2 linked regions of the Yarrowia lipolytica genome follow. The protein of the gene in region 1 interacts with the protein of each later gene in a biochemical or structural test. Links are inferred from orthologs where the notes say so. Each region holds a gene or a part of one and is shown in the gene's direction. Other genes may lie near its edges.

Region 1 (4,931 bases):
AACTCGGACGAGTGTACGATATCCTCCAGAGAAGGATCGACATCGAGAATGTACTTGAGGCCCTTGGAGAAATCTGATTCGTAAATTTCGTCCCAGTGACTGTTGTCTTTGGTTACAGGATCTAGCTTGGGTATCAGCTTGATAGACTCAGCCAGGGAAATCTTAGGGGCTGGAGCCAAGGGAGTAGTAGGGATCTCAAGCTTGGTTTTCTGTCTTTTGGGAGTACTGGGAGTCACCACAGGCGCTGTTGTTTCAGGTTCAGCCAGACTTCGCTTGGTTCGCGTTCTTGTTGTCGCAACCATCACCAGTTTGTGGATCGAAGGACGGCGGAAGATGTTCATGCGCATGACATCTGTGAAGGAGGGGTTAGGGATTGTGGGTCGTTATTAAAGTGGAGAGAGAAATGTTGCTGTCAGCAAGATGTATTTTCAGTGGAATGAACGACGTTTTGTATGAGAATCAGATACAAATTGCACTCATCTCTCAAATACTTTCTTGTCCTTGAAAGAGTCAAATGTAAACGTGTTTTCAATTGACAATAATACGTACATACTGTACTCTTACCACACCCACTTTAAATGCAATGCCATTGTTGCGATAAAGCTGAGTTTATCGATGAGATATTGTAATACATTGGGTAAACTACTGCACGAGTACGAGTACTGTACATACTGTAGGGATTGTGTAGCATTTTCTCTTCTGGCCAATAGGATGACACGGCCATGATGGCTATCGCTAGAAAAACAAGATTTTGGCTTATATATAGTCAATCACTCACATTTTGAGAACATCCCTCACACTCAGTTTATCCCTCATTTTACTTGACAGCTTAAACCACTCAAGTGGAGACAGATATCAGCCGTATGGCTTAGCTACAGTAGAGACTACAATTAGTTCCAAATTGAATAGAGACCGTGCGAGATTCAAATTTCATCGTGACTAGACCGCATGACTCACACTTTTCATTATCTGTTGCGCATTGACCATAAGTACTTGAACGTCGTACATATCGCCTACAGCATCTATTTCCAACTCATGGTTTGATCATACGTCATACATGTGTGCTGCGTGGATGGTGTTGCGGATAAAAGCCCGCGTAAATTGACCTCCTGGGGGCTGTGTACACTGACCTTTGGGGATACAAAGAGTGGCTAGCAATACTAGTTATAGAAAAGAGCGACTCAATAAAGCTGCTTAAATCCGATCCCAATTGGGTGGTTCATTCGCTTGAAAGAGCTTGAAAGTCCATCCGGAGATAGCAACAGACAAAAATCCGGTTTATGCAGAACAGCCAGACGTACAACAACAAGTACAATGAAAAAGAGGACAGCAAGGACATGTTGTCACAATTCACAGTCTGGCACTTGCTATTTATCTTGTCAGTCACTGCAAATCAAGTAAAGGGTCGTGAGACGGCATCTAGGCTACGTCTGGCTTATTGTAACTACCAGTACGAGGTGTAGTGCTGAGACATAGACAATACAACTCTGTACAGGTAGAGAGCAGCCTTCATGCGGGGTAGGGGAGGCATACAAGAGAAGAATGATACCCCCAACCACAAACAATTGTCCATTACAAACACATTCTCATCCTTACTTTTTTTCATATCACCCCTCTATCACCCATTCGAACCGCTCCACCATCCGATTGCTCCGAGCTTTAAACTCCACATCACAGTGCATGGTTGGTCTATAACTCTCAATTAGCTCACCACTTGTACATAGTCTCTCCACACACACACTCTTACACACCCAATTACCGCAACACACGTTTCAACATGTCTCTCGACCTAGCTACCAACGGCCAGCAGATCAAGGACGTGTACGGCGCCATTGTCAGCAATGACCCCGAGTTCCCCTGGGCAATCTTTGGTTATGCCACCTCTCCCACAGCGTCCTCGGCCACCATCAAGGTCGCAGCCATCCCTGAGTCTGACACTTCCACTCTGGCCGATTTCCTCGACGAGTTCGAGGAGGGCAAGCTGCAATACGGCCTGGTCCGAGTCCCCGACCCTCACTCGAAGCTACCCAAGATTGTCTACGTGGGCTGGTGTCCTGAGGGAGTCCCCGACCCTCGAGCCAAGGGTGTCTTCAACCCCCATCTCCATGCCCTTGGAAATCTCTTCCACGGCTACCACGTCCAGGTGACTGCCCGAGACCGAGACGATCTCACTGAGGATGTGATCCTGGAGCGGCTGGAGCGAGCCTCTGGTGCCAAGTACGGAGCCACCTCATCCAGAAAGCCCGGAATCTCGTCGGCCATCAAGACCAAGCCCACCTACACAACGCAAAAGTCTGGAGCCGATGAGGAGGACTGGGGAGACGCCCCTGCAGTGGAAACCAAGCCCGTCTCCAAGCCCACACCTGTTGAGTCGTCCTACAAGCCCGTCAAGGTTGACCTGGCCGAGATCCGAAAGAAGGGAGGACCCTCGACCTTCACGTCCGAGGGACGAGACGCCGACTCAGATCGAGGCATTGTCGGTGGCTCCTACAAGCCCGTCGGTAAAATTGACATTGCAGCCATCCGAGCCCAGGGCAAGGGACACAAGGAGTCCTTTGAAAACACCCCCATCAAGACGGACCTCGACAAGCCCAAGCCCAAGGCCACTCCTAAGCCTACCTCTAAGCCTGCCCCTGTCGCCGATGTTGAGGATGAGGACAACCAGAACGGGGACGAGGACGGCGAGCCTATGTCTCTCAAAGACAGAATGAAGGCCTTCCAGAAGCCCTCCAAGTCTTCTTCTACTCCCACTCCCTCCAAGAAGCCCCCTACCACCATTGGTGGAGACGACGACGATGAGGAGGATGAGACCCCCAAGTCTGTTAAGGACCGACTCAACGCTTTCTCCGGGTCTGGACGGCTCACCGAGATGCCCAAGCCCAAGATCGACAAATCTGCTATCCAGTCTCGATTCACACCCGCTGCCTCTCGAGGAACCAAGCCTCTGGCCCCCGCCGGTGATCTGTCGTCTCAGTATGGTCTCAAGACCTCAATTGTGTCTGGTGGATCCCGAGATTTTGCCTCTGAGAACGGTAAGACTCCCGGTCAGATCTGGGCTGAAAAGCATGGAAAGACTCCCCAGCCTGACGTGGCCGTGCCTTCGTCTACCTCCAACGTCTCTTCTGCATCCGACAAGTTCTCCAAGCTGTCTGTGAACGACGATGATGAGGAGGACAAGAAGACTCCTGCTTCTTTCGGTGGTGATGACGACGAAGATGACGAGCCCCACGCATCGGTTTCCGCTCTTCGAGGTGCCTTCAATAAGCCGGCCGTGCATGACGAGCCCAAGAAGTCCACCCCCGCCCCTGCTTCTCGAACCATTCCTCCTCCCCCTCCTTCCGCCTCTCGAGTAAACGACGACGACGATGATGAGGACGAGGACGATGCTCCCGCTGTCTCTGTCTCTGCTCTCCGAGGCGCCTTCAACAAGCCCGCTGCTGCCGACGAAGATGATGCTCCCCCTCCTCCTGCTCGAACAGTGCCCCCGCCTCCTCCCTCTGCATCTCGACCCCCCGCTGATGAGGATGACGACGATGAGGACGAGCACAACAGCTTCTCCAAGGGCGCCTCTGCTCTTCAGGCCGCCTTCTCTGCTGGTGCTGGTACCGGAGGACCTCCTCCTCCTCCTGCTCGAGGAGCTGCCAAAGATGAGGAAGAAGATGATGCTCCTCCCCCCATGCCTGCTCGACACGCCCCTCCTCCCGCCAACGACGATGATGCCCCCCCTCCTATGCCTGCTCGACATGTTGCTAACGACGCTCCTCCTCCTCCCATGCCATCTCGACCTGCTGCCGATGAGCCTCCTGCTCCCGCCCTGCCTTCTCGAGGCGGTGCTGCTGCTGCCACTCCTGCTGCTGTTGTCTCCAGCAAGCCCTCTGCCACCGTGGAGTACGATTACACTAAGGATGAGGAGGGTGAGATCGATCTCGTGGAGGACGAGATCGTCACCGACATTGAGTTCCTGGACGAGAACTGGTGGAGCGGAACCAACTCCAAGGGTGAGTCCGGTCTGTTCCCCTCCAACTATGTCAGGCTTAAGGATGGTGCTGTGCCCACCATTCCCGATCCTGCCGCGGGCTGCCGGGCGCTGCTGCCGGCGCTGCTGCCGGAGCTGGCACTGGCCCCTCTGCCATCGCCCTGTACGACTACGACGCTGCTGAGGACAATGAACTGAGCTTCGCGGCGGACGATATCATCACAGATATTGAATTCATCGACGAGGACTGGTGGACCGGATCGCTCAACGGCAAGCGAAACCTCTTCCCTTCCAACTTTGTTGAGCTCCAGGATTAGCCTAATCGTTCTATGATGTATAAATAATTATGACTTGATGGATTGAACTGATTGTAGATTACTGTGTGAATAGTCGTAGTGCTGTGTTTTGTAAACTTCTATTATAAATTACCACGTCATACTGTGTGTCTATAAGTTAGCATGCCCGTCTGGCTTCCGCGAGCAACAAGATTGTTGTGTTCAAATCTTGGATCTAATAATCTCGCTGAAGAGACGCAGGGTAGCTGCACCCTGTCCCTGTTGAGTAAGCCCTCGTCGAGCAACAATGGCAGCATGAGAATGGATCACGGTAATGTACACGGCGTACTTTTCCCAGCCTAGCTTGTCCATGTTCTCAATCATGCTGAGTACGTCCTCGGAGAAAGGCGCGTTGTTCGCCCAGTTGGCCAGCAATCCTCGGTCTCCTGTGTGTCTAGCCGCCTCCATAGCTTCACCCAGACCGACCACCTTGGTTTCCGACAAAGCAGGCGTGTCGGTGTTGTTAAGATCATCACCTAGAATGACGTCTTCGACGGCAGCTTCAGTGATTCCAGCAGCCATGACATCAGCCTCTTCCTCAACCTTGGACGCGTCCGTTTTAGAAACGGGGGAGGATTGTTTGTCGGTGTTCTCAGTCTTCTCCCCCTTACCGCCAACCT
Region 2 (5,131 bases), on another chromosome or scaffold:
TTGGCTCCATTGTAAGCAAAGTTATCGTGGTGCTTGCAGCTCACCAACGAGTCACAAACGTACTCGGACCACAGAATACCATCCGAACATCGCCCTCCCAGTCCTCGGCAGCTCATGGCCACCTTCTTGGGTCCTCCCTGAGGCGACTTTTGCACCCAGTACCGCTGATCGTCGTTGACAGCAGGCTTTGTGTCGTCCATGGCTCCCTCGTTTGTTCGGAACACGTGGCGAGAACCATCATCTGACCACGAGTCGCCCAGAACAATGTATCGTAGAGGTCTGATCTTGGACCCGAAGGAATGCATCAGAGCAGCCGCTGGATCGTGTCGTAGAGCGTGCCAGGACGTGGCTAGAAACAGCCATGTGATGACCAGCATGAACGAGGCCGCGACCAGCAGCGCAGCCAGGTTCTTTTTACGCAGTCGGATTCCCATGGTGTGGTGTGTGTTGTGGTGATGATGTCAGGTTAGAGTTATCATTCTATAGACATTTTGCACGTGTGAGGTATTTGCGGTGTGAAGGAGAAGTTGCTGGAAATGCACGTGACATATAACAGAGAAAATACCGTGTCCACGTGACACATCACGTGACAAAACCATCCCCGTTATCCCGAGTTCTCTCATCTCCCTACTTGCTACATATACCTCCATCTCCTTTAACGACAGCTTTGGTAAGCGGAGGTTTAAGCTCGATAGGGTTGTGGGATTCGGTGGCGAGGGAATCTGGGATGGGGGGTTTGGGGACTACACAGTGGGGTTATTAGGATATATATATATATATATATATATATATATAGCGGGGAATCAATCTGTGGACCTCGAGGAGGGTGACAATTGTGTGTGTATTTTTGTTATTACGTAATTGTGGCGTGAGATACATGGCGCACTTGTGTACATGGTAGCTGCTTCATGGGGTTTAGAATATGCGTAGAGACCCAACAATGAGTGGGCAGTTTGGTTCTAGGGGGGGTTATATTACACCGTAGGGGGACACCGTAATTGAATCTTACACAGATACTTACAATAGGCTTCTGAAAAGTCTTTTTTTTTTCTTTTCTGGAACGATTTCGTCCCCCAAAGTTTCGTCACAAATCTTACTTGGATTGCAAACAAAATTACTTTGATTTGTTGACTTCGAGACAGTTACAAAAAAAAAATTAGATAACTTTTCATAGTGTCTTGAGAACAACCACCTCTCGTGTTTACTGCAAAATGTAACTCATATTTTATAATAGTCCTAATCTGTCAGCTTCCCCGATCACATAGATACCATAAAATACAATATCCAAGTAATATATCACCTGATCAGTGCCCAAAACAAACCTCCATATCTATGCGGCTCTGAATTTGTCTTGTTCAGGTTAAGAGCAAAACTGAATTTAGAACACTCGACTGCTTAAGCTTTCGTTATCGAGCCGGAGGCGCCAAACGGATAAACCCAACATGACTATACAGCATACACACACACCCAAGAGGGAATGACAGGACACGTTATGTCGATTTACAAGTGTTCGCGACCCTTTTCTCTCATTAAAACTTCCATTTGGGCGTCTTGTTGCTGTGTTGCGTTGCTCTGCCCTTTTCCAATAAAGTTTGCTTGTGCGAGATGAGCTTGTTAACGGTTGTTTGAGAGTACAAGTACTCGTATGTACTACAAGTAGTGCTGTAGGAGGAGTCTAAACGGGATGTTTAGTAAGCCGGATAGTGGGGATACGTTGTTGGACACGTGATATAAATTTCTGCAGTTGTATGTATGTAATACATCTCTATAGATTACCCCCAAAAAGTCCACCTGTGTGTGTCTCCGTGCAACCTGCATACAAGTGAGGCAGCACAATAGCAAGTGATACATAGCAGCATCCCCCAAAGAGACGCTACTGGGGTAAACCGCCGCGAAGAAAGAGAAAGAAAAAAAGCTTTCGAGTCGTATATCATGTGCGAGACACCACACGACCCTTTTCCTCTTTGGTCTCTGCTCTTCTGACCCTCTCTTGTGACCTCTACTTGCCATCTCCCATCTCATCCATACATACACCACACGTGGATTATACTTTTTGGACTGGTCTCTTGTTGTCTTGTCCGAAAGTGAAGTGTACTTGTAGTGTGTCTGGATAACCGAACTTGTGATCGATCGATTCGCTGCACCGGTATCATGTTTTTGGCGCGATCCACGCGGCTGTCTCTCGCGTCACGTGCCCCGCTCAGTCGCCCGTTACTCGTCCACCAAAGACACTTTTCGCCGACCCTCCAGAACGCCTTTTTATCGGCTAAAAAAGAAGTTACTGCCACCACCGCACGCAAGCCCACCACAGTAGTCGCGTCCCCCAGACCCAAAGGAGCGCTCCGGTTCGAACACAAACGGAGCTTGAAGCCGTCGAAAAACGTCGTCACTGCTCTAACACCAGCCTCTCAGCCCCCTCCGGCCCCCTACATTGTCAAGAAACGCCACTCGTTTGTCTACCGGTTTTTCAAGTCCATCTTCACCCGCTGGAGCAAACAGCAGCGGTTGGAACGGCGCCTGAAACGCGAAGAGCGCAAGAAACGACACAAGGCCGGTCAGCCCAAGGGACGAGACATTGCCCGATTGCTGTACTACTACAGAGCGACCCGAAAACCATACTACTTCAAGCACTGGCTGAGAATGAGTGGATACAACACGCGCAAAATCTGGCAGTCCATCAAGACCAAGTCAGAAACGTTTGTGGCTGAGAAATTGACCCAGAACAACGAGCCGTTGGATCTGTCGGAGACGAACCTGGCACCCACAATCACAGCTTACCCCACCTACTCTCGAATGCTTCCTGATGGAACCCATGAGGTGGATATTAAGGGAACCATCTCTGTGCCTGGAGAATGGACGTCGCGAAAGAACCGGTTTATTCTGAACATGGTCAGATCGTATCTCAGTGGCAACTCCGAGGAAAAACTGGAACGAGATATTGCCGCATTGGAAGAAATTGAGAAGGAGAGACAGGGCCGAATGAGTACTAGGGGGTTCAGAAATGGAGCACAGAGTGCCAGTACCCCGGATTTGATTGATTTGGACGGATCTGAGTCGGTTTCGTCTAGATCGACTACTTCTTCACGTGCTTCATCCGTGAGGGATGGATATGAATCTCCCTCGCGTGATTCCCCTACTGCCGGTAGAAGACGAGTCCCCCCTCCCCCTGCTAGTCGCATCTATTCCAGCAGAACAACCACTATTGCCAGCAGCATCTCGCTGGACTCCACTGCCAGTTCTCAATCACTCCCCGCTGACTCTTCCCTGGAAGACACAATCATGAAGGAGCGGTTTGCGCCATTTGTGGCTCAGCCGCTCGTCAACGCCGTCCTCGATGTCACCATTATAGACGACAATGAGCACGCCACGTCGACGACTCTGCATTCCCACACTTCGGGTAAGTTTGGAACTGCTTTGCGGCTCGATTTCAAGCCAACAATCATGAAAATCCATGTCAGAAACACACCCTATTCGGTCCAGCAGGATCTCATCGATGTGTCATATGAGGGAGTGTCTCTGATTTCCGATATTGATGACACCATCAAACACACTGGAGTGACTGGAGACAAAAAGGCCATGATCAAGAACGTGTTTGTGAAGGATCTGGACGGCCTGAGTATCCCTGGAGTGGTGGAGTGGTACAACAAGTTGTCAGGACTGGGTGTTCAGACCCATTACGTCTCGAATTCACCCTGGCAGCTGTACCCGGTCATCAAGGAGTATTTGCACATGCACGGCTTCCCTAGAGGATCCATTCATCTGAAAGACTACGCTGGAGTCTTGTCTCAGCTTTTTGAAGCCCCTGCTGAACGAAAGAAGTTTAATTTGGAGCAGATTCTGCGAGACTTCCCCCAGCGACGCTTCATTCTCGTTGGAGACTCCGGAGAGGGTGATCTGGAGGCCTACGTGGAACTTGCCAAGGTCTATCCCCAACAGATTCTCGGCATCTATATTCGAGACATTACGTCTGACCGAGAACTGGACTACGACTTTCTTAGAGTCGAAATTGCTGCTCTCAAAAAGGAGGCTGATGAACGAGAACGACCAATGAAAGTGGCGCGCAAGCCTGTTCAGCCTGTAAACCTCATGGACTCTCCTATCGGCAAGAAAGTGCCTCCTCCTGTTCCTAGAAAGCCCGTTGGTCTTGCTGGAAAGAAGACCGATGAGAACGTCGACCGAGAACACACTGGAAAACCGGACTCCGCTGCGTCCAATGCTGCCATCGCTGCTACAGCGGCCTATGGAGCCCCCCCTCTGCCTCCGAGACGCAAGATTCAGCCTGAGACTATGAGAAGCATTTCTGATCAGGTCACCAGTGGATCTATGAACGTGGCAGCATCTCAGGAGACGGATGAGACACCTAGACTGTACTCTGACAATGATCGGCAGTTCAAGTGGAAGGAGCGGGTGAGACGAGCGCGAAGGGAGTTACCTGCTAATGTCAGATTGAGACTATGGAAGGAGCCTCCAAAGGTCGAAGGGGAGACACTGGAGCTGGCAAAGACGGTGGAAAAGGAACCTATTAAGGAGCTGTTATAGTCATGTAAAAAGCTCACCCAGAGCTGAAGCGAGTCGTGATCTAGAGCGGCTCTAGACTGAAGTACAGTAGGAACAACGAGCCTTTCTGGAAACGGTAGCATTTTAAATTATTTGATTAGATTTTACCTTGTTAATTTTTCAAGTAGGATTTGCTGTGTTGTAGGAGTGTACAGTATGTAGTGATATACTGCGTGACATTGACAGTTCAGCGTATCTCTCTATACTGTCTCTGATCGATTGGTTTGTTCTATAAACCTCAGAGATACTGGTGAAGTTCAGGTCCGAGAGAGTAGTACAACCAAGGCCGGAGAGGAACGAACTAGGCATGAGGATAACAAACTATTTCTATGGGCGAGAGGTTGTCATCCATTGAACGTCAACTCTCGAGTGTTTCTGGTCATTCTTCAACCTCGGCGGCTATCGAATACACGGCTATATGCAGCGGGGCTGTGTGAGTCGTGACCTACAAAAACGACTCCACAATCAGCTCTTCCTGGGCACAATAAGAACAGATGGGATTATACCAAAAGACATTAGTCTCGGAATTTTTGTCTCAATCAATAAGCCGCGGTGTATTTACCCAGTTTAGTAC

Evidence for each region.
Region 2: the proteins of YALI1_B18645g (region 1) and YALI1_D02546g interact in a test that uses a peptide from one of them, tested with the Saccharomyces cerevisiae proteins (2 studies listed by BioGRID). The link is inferred for Yarrowia lipolytica from reciprocal best matches to the Saccharomyces cerevisiae genes ABP1 and APP1.

The regions. Positions count from the first base shown.
Region 1 is NC_090771.1:1,862,818-1,867,748, forward strand, and holds YALI1_B18645g (uncharacterized protein), read left to right. Parts: upstream 1-1,777; coding exon 1,778-4,174; downstream 4,175-4,931. Other genes in the region: YALI1_B18631g (uncharacterized protein), read right to left, coding at 1-347; YALI1_B18687g (uncharacterized protein), read right to left, coding at 4,474-4,931. UniProt on the Saccharomyces cerevisiae protein: Regulates ARP2/3 complex-mediated actin assembly. Recruits ARP2/3 complex to sides of preexisting actin filaments, which may promote nucleation or stabilization of filament branches. Binds to actin filaments, but not actin monomers.
Region 2 is NC_090773.1:251,624-256,754, reverse strand, and holds YALI1_D02546g (uncharacterized protein), read left to right. Parts: upstream 1-2,151; coding exon 2,152-4,539; downstream 4,540-5,131. Other genes in the region: YALI1_D02563g (uncharacterized protein), read right to left, coding at 1-434. UniProt on the Saccharomyces cerevisiae protein: Mg(2+)-dependent phosphatidate (PA) phosphatase which catalyzes the dephosphorylation of PA to yield diacylglycerol. May play a role in vesicular trafficking through its PAP activity at cortical actin patches.